2 linked regions of the Macaca fascicularis genome follow. The protein of the gene in region 2 interacts with the protein of the main gene of each other region in a biochemical or structural test. Links are inferred from orthologs where the notes say so. Each region holds a gene or a part of one and is shown on either strand. Other genes may lie near its edges.

Region 1 (4,293 bases), on a different chromosome or scaffold from region 2:
TCATCGGGAGGCAGCGAGCAAAGACAGGAAGCCCGCGGCAGCCTCCGTGGTTGCAGATAGCATCTCCCCGGCCCTCCTGCCTCACAACGCCCTCCATCTGTTGTCTGTTTGTCTTCCAAGTACTCCAGGAAGAAAGAAGCCACACGGCACTGGCATTCACCCAAGAGGCTGCAGCCTCCGCCCGTGTCTGGGGTTGCTGTCCCCTGTGTTGAGATGGGATGGAATTATTCAAGCAAGCTACGTTTTTTTGATGAGGCTCCCCATCACACCCCTTTTTTGGTCTGTTTATTTCCAGGCAATGCCACTGTAGATAAGTTGGAGGACTTCATCAACAACATTAACAGTGTCTTGGAGTCCTTGTATATTGAGATAAAGAGAGGAGTCACGGAAGATGACGGGAGACCCATTTATGCGTTGGTGAGTGCCCAGCAGAGCCCTCTAGTGGCGTTTTTGAGGAGCTGGAACAGGGCCCAGGCAGCCCGTGTTTGCTTTGGTTTGATTTCTCTTTTGGACAGTTCTTTGTAAAGAAGTCACTCCAAATGTATGGAATATTAGGAATAAAGGGAGAAACGGTTTTTTACTTAGAATAAGACATAGAAGCGATGAAAAGAAACAGTGTGTAGGAGTGTCAAGGATTGCGACCCACGTGGGGTCTTCAGTGGTTTTCAGATTTACTCTCACAGGTAGGGATCAGGGTGAAACACAGGAGTGGGAAGCTGACATGCCCCATCCCTGGCTAGGAGACACCTCGGGCTGGTCAGAGGACATCTGGCTGCTCCCAGCCAGGCTCACACTCAGAAAGGAGCACTCTAGTCCAGGGTTTCCAAAACATTACACAGGCAAAGAACTATGGAAATGCTGGCCAGACACGGCAAAGCAGATTTCCTTGCTGTCGGACTTCTCAGTGCCTTTTGCATTTGAAGCTCCATTAACATGTAGACAAATCTCCCAAATTTATCTGAGTTTGGAAAATACTGCACACCCTCTGGAGTTCTGAAACTTCTGAGGGTCTAGCATGTTGACTGAGCTAAAGAATAAAGTCTGTAGTATATGCCTGGTTACAGATCCATCCTGCGGCTCGCAGTGCCTGGATACAGGAGCTCAGTGACTGGCCAGAGACGGAGGAGGGGAGGGAGGGAGAGCCAGTGACACGTTAACCAACACGCGAAGGGCACAGCCTGACTGTTGCGCTGACTTATTTCTTAGGTGAATCTTGCTACAACTTCAATTTCCAAAATGGCTACGGATTTTGCAGAGAATGAACTGGATCTGTTTAGAAAGGCTGTAAGTAGAGTAATCCCCGTCGCCCATTGGCTGGGCTTCTTATGGGAAAGTTCTGTCTCAGTCGTTAGAAGTGGCAACTGCAGTCTTCAAGGATCACTGGGGGGACGTGGGCCACCACTGCTGTCTGAGGAAAGGCTTTGCAGGGAGATATCACTGTCTACCCATCTGGAATTCACAGCTGTCAGGGGCCCCCATGGCTGCCTGGGAAGGAAGTGCTGGGCCAGGTGTGAGCCCCAGCTGGATGGGCAAGAGCAGGGCCTCACTGGTAGTAACAGGCGTTCCTACCTGGCTGCTGTAAGTGCCATCTGGGAAAGGCAGCAGCAGCAGCGGCATCACCTGGGAGCTTGTTAGAAAGGCCCAGTCCCAGTCCCTACCCTACACTGCTGAGTCCGAATCTGCATTTTTGCCAGGTGCCCGCTGAATCATTTGCATGTGCACATTTGAGCGGCATTGCTCTACCAGGCTTCAGAGCTACTTGCTCGGCCCTCTGGTCAAACATATGGCTAAGAGTGGTTCTCAGGCCTACATAACTGCAGAGGTGAGAAAGAATTCAGACATTTCAGCCCCACTTGGGATCTGTCGAATCTGAATCTCTGAGAACCAGGTGTTGGAATCATTCCTTTGAGGTCTTCTCCTGGGGTTTATTAGCTGCCAGGGTTGAGGAGCAGGTGCTGAGCTGAGCACACATCTGCGTGTGCAGGAACCTGTCTTCTCCAGAGGTTCCTGCCTGCCGTGTCTGTCTCTCGCTGCCTCTGAGGCCAGCTGTGAGGCAAGGTGACCCTTACTGATTTGGGGACATTAAGATGATTTATTTGGGAGGATGTTATCGAAGTGACCTCTGAGTCAAAAGAACTGAGCACAGTCCTGACTCTTGATGCGTATTACATTGTTTTCCCCGAATACCGTGCCAGTGTGCAGTTCTGCCTGTGATCCGAGTGGCCTTACTGCACCCCTGCCAGACTTAGTATTACCATTTAAAAGTTATTTTTGCCATTTTAATAGAGAAGCATGGTACCTGCTCTTTCTTCCAGCTGGAACTAATTATTGACTCAGAAACTGGCTTTGCGTCTTCCACAAACATTTTGAACCTGGTTGATCAACTTAAAGGCAAGAAGATGAGGAAGAAGGAAGCGGAGCAGGTGCTGCAGAAGTTTGTCCAAAACAAGTGGCTAATTGAGGTACTGTCTCATGGTTTTCCAGTCCGGCTCACTCTTTTGAGTGAATAGCAGTTTTGTCTCCAAAATCGTATTTCTAGCCAACTGATGTCTGTGGAGCCCAGCCTTCTCAGATCCCTTATCTGCTTTCACGCATTCCAGCAGTGACCCCATGGGGAGGATCTGGGCCTCACCTCTCCTGCCTCCCACTCCCTGTTCACCCACATGATGTGTTGAGGATGCCACAGCCAGAATGGCAGAGCCAGGAGCTGCACCCGGGATTTGGGCCCCGGGACCAAGCCTCTAGCCCACAGACTGCAAGGCAGAGGCAGTTCCGTGGCTGAGAGTGTGGCTGTGATGTCTGACCCGGGTCTGAACCCTGAGCCAGGTGACCTCAGGTTCCCTGTAAGAGGGAAGTTGTCGTTTCCCCTTTGGGGCTGGGTGTGTCAGGAGCAGGAATGGGACCTCACAGTAACGTGCTCCGTGCTGCGCTGGCTGGCTCGCGGGGGAGGCAGCAGAGGAATTGGCGACGTTACCACTGTTGTTTTTGTCAGCAGTGAGTTCCTCAGGGTCAGTACTTAGAAGAGGCACAGACAAGCTTTAGGAAAGGAGCTGTGACGTCTGGGACAGGCCCCACTGCAGCTCCAGTTTCTAGATGCTGCCCCGCCCCCACGTCTAGTCCTGCTGAATGGAGCAGAACAAATGTTTCAGTTCTTTTTCCACAAAAGGCACCCCTGTTTTCAACAGCGTAGTGTTTGCTGAGTTGACCATTGCTGTGCCCTCCCAGATGCTCGTGCCCGTGTGTGTTGAGGACGCGCTCACGTCGGGTTCCCGCTTCCTCACTTGGTGGTCGGACTTGTGGCCAGAGGCTGCTGCTTGTGGCTGCAGCGACTCTCCACTTCCTGTTCAGGAAGGCTTGCCTCCGGATTGGGGAAGTCTGTGTTCTGAGTTACTAATTTCTGTGTAGGGTGGGCCTGTACCAGGAACCTGACCCAAATTCAGTTCCTGGGGTACCTGATGGGAAGAAAGGGTGGAGAGGTCACGGGGTGAGGGCAGAGGTCACAGGGGTGAGGTCAGGGCTGGGAGCTCCTGGTGAGTGCAGGATCTGCTGGGCACATTCCCATATGTCCTGTCTCGGAGGCTGCCTGCTGTCCTGCAGTGGCTCCATAGCTTAGTTTTTAGCTGACAGCTCAGGGGTCTGGATGACATCGGACAACAGCTCAGGGGTCTGGATGACATCGGACACCCTGAGAGTGGCAGGGCCGAGTTCAGGCCCCAGTTTGGGGACTGCAGCTCCCATCAATGGCTTTGTCACAGTTTTTCTTGCCCTCCGGGCTGTATTTGGTACTAGAGAATGTTCTAGGGTCTGCTGAGGTTATAACTGACCATTCTCGCTTGTGGTGCAGCCCCTCTTAGGGCCAAGTTTTTTTTTTTTTTTTTTTTTGAGATGGAGTTTCGCTCTTGTTGCCCAGGCTGGAGTGCAATGGTACAATCTCGGCTCACTGCAACCTCCACCTCCTGCTTCAAGTGATTTTCCTGCCTCAGCCTCCCAAATAGCTGGGATTACAAGCATGTGCCACCATGCCTGGCTAATTTTTGTATTTTTAATAGAGACGGGGTTTCTCCATATTGACAAGGCTAGTCTCGAACTCCTGACCTCAGGTGATCTGCCTATCTTGGCCTCCCAAAGTGCTGGGATTACAGGTGTGAGCCACTGTGCCCAGCCATGGGCCAAGTTTCTTAAGGGCAAGGGTTATGACCTCTTCATGGCTGATTCCCATTGCAGAATCTAGTGCGTGGCACCTCAGGCGCTCAATAAATGCTTGCTGATTGGATGACTGAACGGGTGGATGAG
Region 2 (4,393 bases):
CACAGAGTGCTAGGCATTCCAGGACAGTTCATCTTGCAATTCTAATATTGTATATTGCATATAAAAATATGCAATAATTAACAGCTAACATTTATTGAATATCAATATGTACCAAGCACTGTGTTAAATGCTTATGTGCGTTACTTCACATAATCTCCACAATGCTGTTACTACTATTATACTCATTTTACTGATAAGGCAACAGAAGGGCAGAAGTTTAGGTAACTTGCCCAAGATTATACAGCCAGTAAGTAGCAAACTGTGCCACAGAAAAGACACAATCATCTATAAAATGGGGATGATGGTATTAGTACCTACATTAGTGAGAATCCGATGAATTAATATTTGAAAAATGCTTAGAATGGAGCTTGGCACCTAATAGGCCTGTATACGTGGTTGTTAACAAATTGCTAAGGTGATTCAGAGATGACAATAAATAACTTCTATGCATGGTGACTAACGAAGGTTTGGGAAGGTGATGTTTAAACTGGGCCCTGAATGGTGGACAGGATTTGGAGAAATGGAGGTAACAAAGAAGGCATTTCAGACAGGGAAAGGAGGGAGGGAGGGAGGGAGGGAGGAAGGAAGGGAGGAAGGAAGGAAGGAAGGAAGGAAGGGAGGGAGGGAGGGAGGGAGGGAGGGAGGAAGGGAGGCAGGAAGGGAAGGAGGGAGGGAAGGAGGGAGGGAGGAAGGTAGAAGGGGAGGAAGGAAAGAAGAAGGGAAGTAAAGAAGGAAGGAAGGAGCAAGAAGCGGAAGCAAGCTCAGAGTCTGTAAAAAGAGAAAAAGAAGAAATACATGGCAGTAGTCAAATTTGACTTGGGCAAAAACAAAAAGCAAAACAAAAACAAACAAACAAAACCAAAAAACTTCCCCTTTCTTCCAACCAGTCCCTATTTCTGCTGTACTTCCTCAGTATATCTTATCATTTTCCTCTGATCCCCATGGAATCTGCTGTCCTTACTCCCTTACCATAATGACCCATTGAATAATATTTATTGAGTTCCTCTCTGTGTCAGGCACTGCTCTAGGCACTGAAGATACACCCCAGTGAATAGGCCAGGTCCCAATTCCTAGTTTGCACTATAATAATCCTCCAAACTGGATTATAGCTTTTAGCCGGCCGAACTCCAATCCATCTTCCACAATACCACCAGAACATGAAGACACAGATCTGGTCTGGACACTCACTTGCTTAAATCCCGCTGCAGTATTTTCTCTTTATGTCCAGAATAAATTTCAATCTCCCTAGCATCCCTTACTAATTGTCTCGCACAGTCTTACCTCCCAGCCTTCACCGTGCACTCTGCACTAGAGCCACGGTAAAGCACTGAAAATCCGAGATACACACACTTACAAATAGGCACTTGCAGAAAGAACGTGAGTGGCACTCCATCCCTATTTCATCCCTTGTACACTGAAACTTCCCCAGTCTGCATGCCTTGGATGGGAGAGTCCTGGTTACATTTCCCCGCCCCCGAGTTTTCGAGCCTAAAATCCGGCACAGGGTGCACCCACGTCCCACCCTCCAGGGCACTTCCACTTATAGCAGCCCGGGCACACGCCCCCACCCAGAAGGGGCCGGAAAAGGAGGGGCTTCGCGCGGCGCTAGGGTCGCCATCCTGGCTGAGGTGGCCGGAAGCGGCCCCTCGCGCGGGCGCGGACTGAGGCTGCGCGCCGCAGGTCCCGGCTGCTGGCGGCGTTGCGGCAGCAGGTTTGACTCCCGTGTGGTGCGGCCCAGCAGCTACAAAGTTCCTTCTGCCATTGCTCCTCGTACTCCCGCCGCCCCAGCCGCTGTCCAGCCTCTCCCCCGGGGCTTGCACGGCGGCTTCCACACCCCTCGGCCCGTGCACGCGCTGTGCACCTGCCTGCCCGAAAACATGTTGCAGACACCAGAGAGCAGGGGGCTCCCGGTCCCGCAGGCCGAGGGGGAGAAGGATGGCGGCCATGATGGTGAGACCCGGGCCCGGACCGCCTCGCAGGAGCGCCCCAAGGAGGAGCTTGGCGCCGGGAGGGAGGAGGGGGCTGCGGAGCCCGCCCTCACCCGGAAAGGCGCGAGGGCCTTGGCAGCCAAAGCCTTGGCAAGGCGCAGGGCCTGCCGCCGTCTGAATCGGACGGTGGCGGAGTTGGTGCAGTTCCTCCTGGTGAAAGACAAGAAGAAGAGTCCCATCACACGCTCGGAGATGGTGAAATACGTTATTGGAGACTTGAAGGCTCTGTTCCCGAACATCATCGCAAGGGCCGCAGAGCATCTGCGGTATGTCTTTGGTTTTGAGCTGAAACAGTTTGACCGCAAGCACCACACTTACATCCTGATCAACAAACTAAAACCTCTTGAGGAGGAAGAGGAGGAGGAGGATCTGGGAGGAGATGGCCCCAGGTTGGGTCTGTTAATGATGATCCTGGGCCTTATCTATATGAGAGGTAATAGGGCCAGGGAAGCCCAAGTCTGGGAGATGCTGCATCGGTTGGGGATGCAACCCTCAAAGTATCATTTCCTCTTTGGGTATCCGAAGAGGCTTATTATGGAAGATTTTGTGCAGCAGCGATACCTCAGTTACAGGCGGGTGCCTCACACCAGTCCACCGGAATATGAATTCTCTTGGGGTCCCCGAAGCAACCTGGAAATCAGCAAGATGAAAGTCCTGGGGTTCGTGGCCAAGCTGCATAAGAAGGAACCCCAGCACTGGCCAGTGCAGTACCGTGAGGCCCTAGCAGACGAGGCCGACAGGGCCAGAGCCAAGGCCAGAGCTGAAGCCAGTATGAGGGCCAGGGCCAGTGCTAGGGCCGGCATCCACCTCTGGTGAGGGTTGGTGAAAAGTTGGCCAGTGGGGTCCCCGTGGGGATGAGCTACTGTCCTGAGTCATAAGTAGTATAGGTGGGGCGAGGGTCTTATTTCTGTAGAAATAGTGTGACTTTAAGGATTTAGATTTTGTATCTTATGTTTTGTTACATTTAATAATACTGTTAAAATGCTGTTTGTAAATGAGATTGTTCTACTTTTTCCTGTAGGATTTTGTTGTAGAGTTTTGCTGGTTTTGTAAAATGGCTTGAAGAACTTTGTATTTATACTGTGATTTTGAACAGATTATGGAGCATTGGAAGGAAGGCTGTACTTTAATGGTTTGAAGGAACTCAGCAGTATGATGATCTGGTTCCAGGAGAAAAAATAGCTGATTGGTGTCTAGCCTCCCAATACTTTTGTCTGTTGTATATAAAAGAAGAAAGGCTGGCATGTACCTCCATTTGCTTAGCTATTTGAGTATCTATAGAAAAATTAAAATGTAATGAATTAGTATACCCTGGTACATTTAATAAATTAAACATTTGTGGAGTATCTTGTTTTTTGTGATGCACTGTGTGGGCACTTGGGGTTAGAATACTAAACAAGATAAAGGTCCTGCTTTTTTTCAGAGTTGGAGAGTAAGTAAATAAACGAGAAATTAACAGTGCAGTAAGTTGAAGACTACAAAGGGATATTTAACCCAGCTGGGGTGATTGAGTGAGGTTTGTTGTAATCTCAGCACTTTGGGAGGCTGAGGCGGGCTGATCACCTGAGGTCAAGAGTTCAAGACCAGCCTGGCCACCCTGGTCAGTAGTAGAAACCTTGTTTCTACTAAAATTACAAAAATTAGCCAGGCGTGGTGGTGCACGCTTGTAATCCCAGCTACTTGGGAGGCCAAGGCACGAGAATCCCTTGAATCTAGGAGGTGGAGGTTGCAGTGAGCCGAGATCACGACACAGCACTCCAGCCTGGGCGATAGAGCAAGACCCTTTCTCAGAAAAAAATAAAAAATAAAAATACTGATTTCAGATTACAGCTACTACTCAGTAACATGAGCAGTACTTGATACATGGCAGATCTGGAAAATACTCTACCTTCACCAGTGTCCTCTTTCCAGACCAGATTGTTAACAGTGCACAAAGATGGTGATTGTTAAAATTTTGACCCTTTCTGTCTCCTTTTCAACTTCTACAGGGTTCCCTCTTCTACCAAAGCCCTCAGAGATCAAATAAGGTAATACTTCTGGAATATTATGTAGTGTGAACGAAGGGTACATAAATCTACTACTACCAAGAATTTCCACTTCAAGATTTCTCTTCTGGCACCAGGAAGCCCAGTTCTCCCTTCCATGTTTCTACCTACTGCTTTCCACCTGCCACCTCCCATTTGGAGGAGACTTGTAAGGCATCCCTCCCCTTCATATTATCCGTGGAGAGTCATCCGTAAGCAGCTCTGGCTTCTTCAATGCCCACCACCTTCTGTGAGGATAAATCCCATAGAAAAGGTACTTAGAATAATAGGTAATTTAGAGAAGTGATTCCCAAACCAGAGGGTGGGGGGCAGGGCGGGCAGATCGTGAAACTGTTCCCCTGCAACTGCCATAAACAGAAG

The links.
Region 1: the proteins of MAGEF1 (region 2) and NSMCE1 form a complex in vitro, tested with the Homo sapiens proteins (2 studies listed by BioGRID). The link is inferred for Macaca fascicularis from reciprocal best matches to the Homo sapiens genes MAGEF1 and NSMCE1.

The regions. Positions count from the first base shown.
Region 1 is NC_088394.1:26,312,891-26,317,183, reverse strand, and holds part of NSMCE1 (non-structural maintenance of chromosomes element 1 homolog), read left to right. Parts: intron 1-295; coding exon 296-417; intron 418-1,206; coding exon 1,207-1,284; intron 1,285-2,315; coding exon 2,316-2,462; intron 2,463-3,225; coding exon of another isoform or gene 3,226-3,405; exon of another isoform or gene 3,406-3,507; intron 3,508-4,293. UniProt on the Homo sapiens protein: RING-type zinc finger-containing E3 ubiquitin ligase that assembles with melanoma antigen protein (MAGE) to catalyze the direct transfer of ubiquitin from E2 ubiquitin-conjugating enzyme to a specific substrate.
Region 2 is NC_088376.1:96,641,957-96,646,349, reverse strand, and holds MAGEF1 (melanoma-associated antigen F1), read left to right. Parts: upstream 1-1,634; 5' UTR 1,635-1,877; coding exon 1,878-2,804; 3' UTR 2,805-3,334; downstream 3,335-4,393. UniProt on the Homo sapiens protein: Enhances ubiquitin ligase activity of RING-type zinc finger-containing E3 ubiquitin ligases. Proposed to act through recruitment and/or stabilization of the E2 ubiquitin-conjugating enzyme at the E3:substrate complex.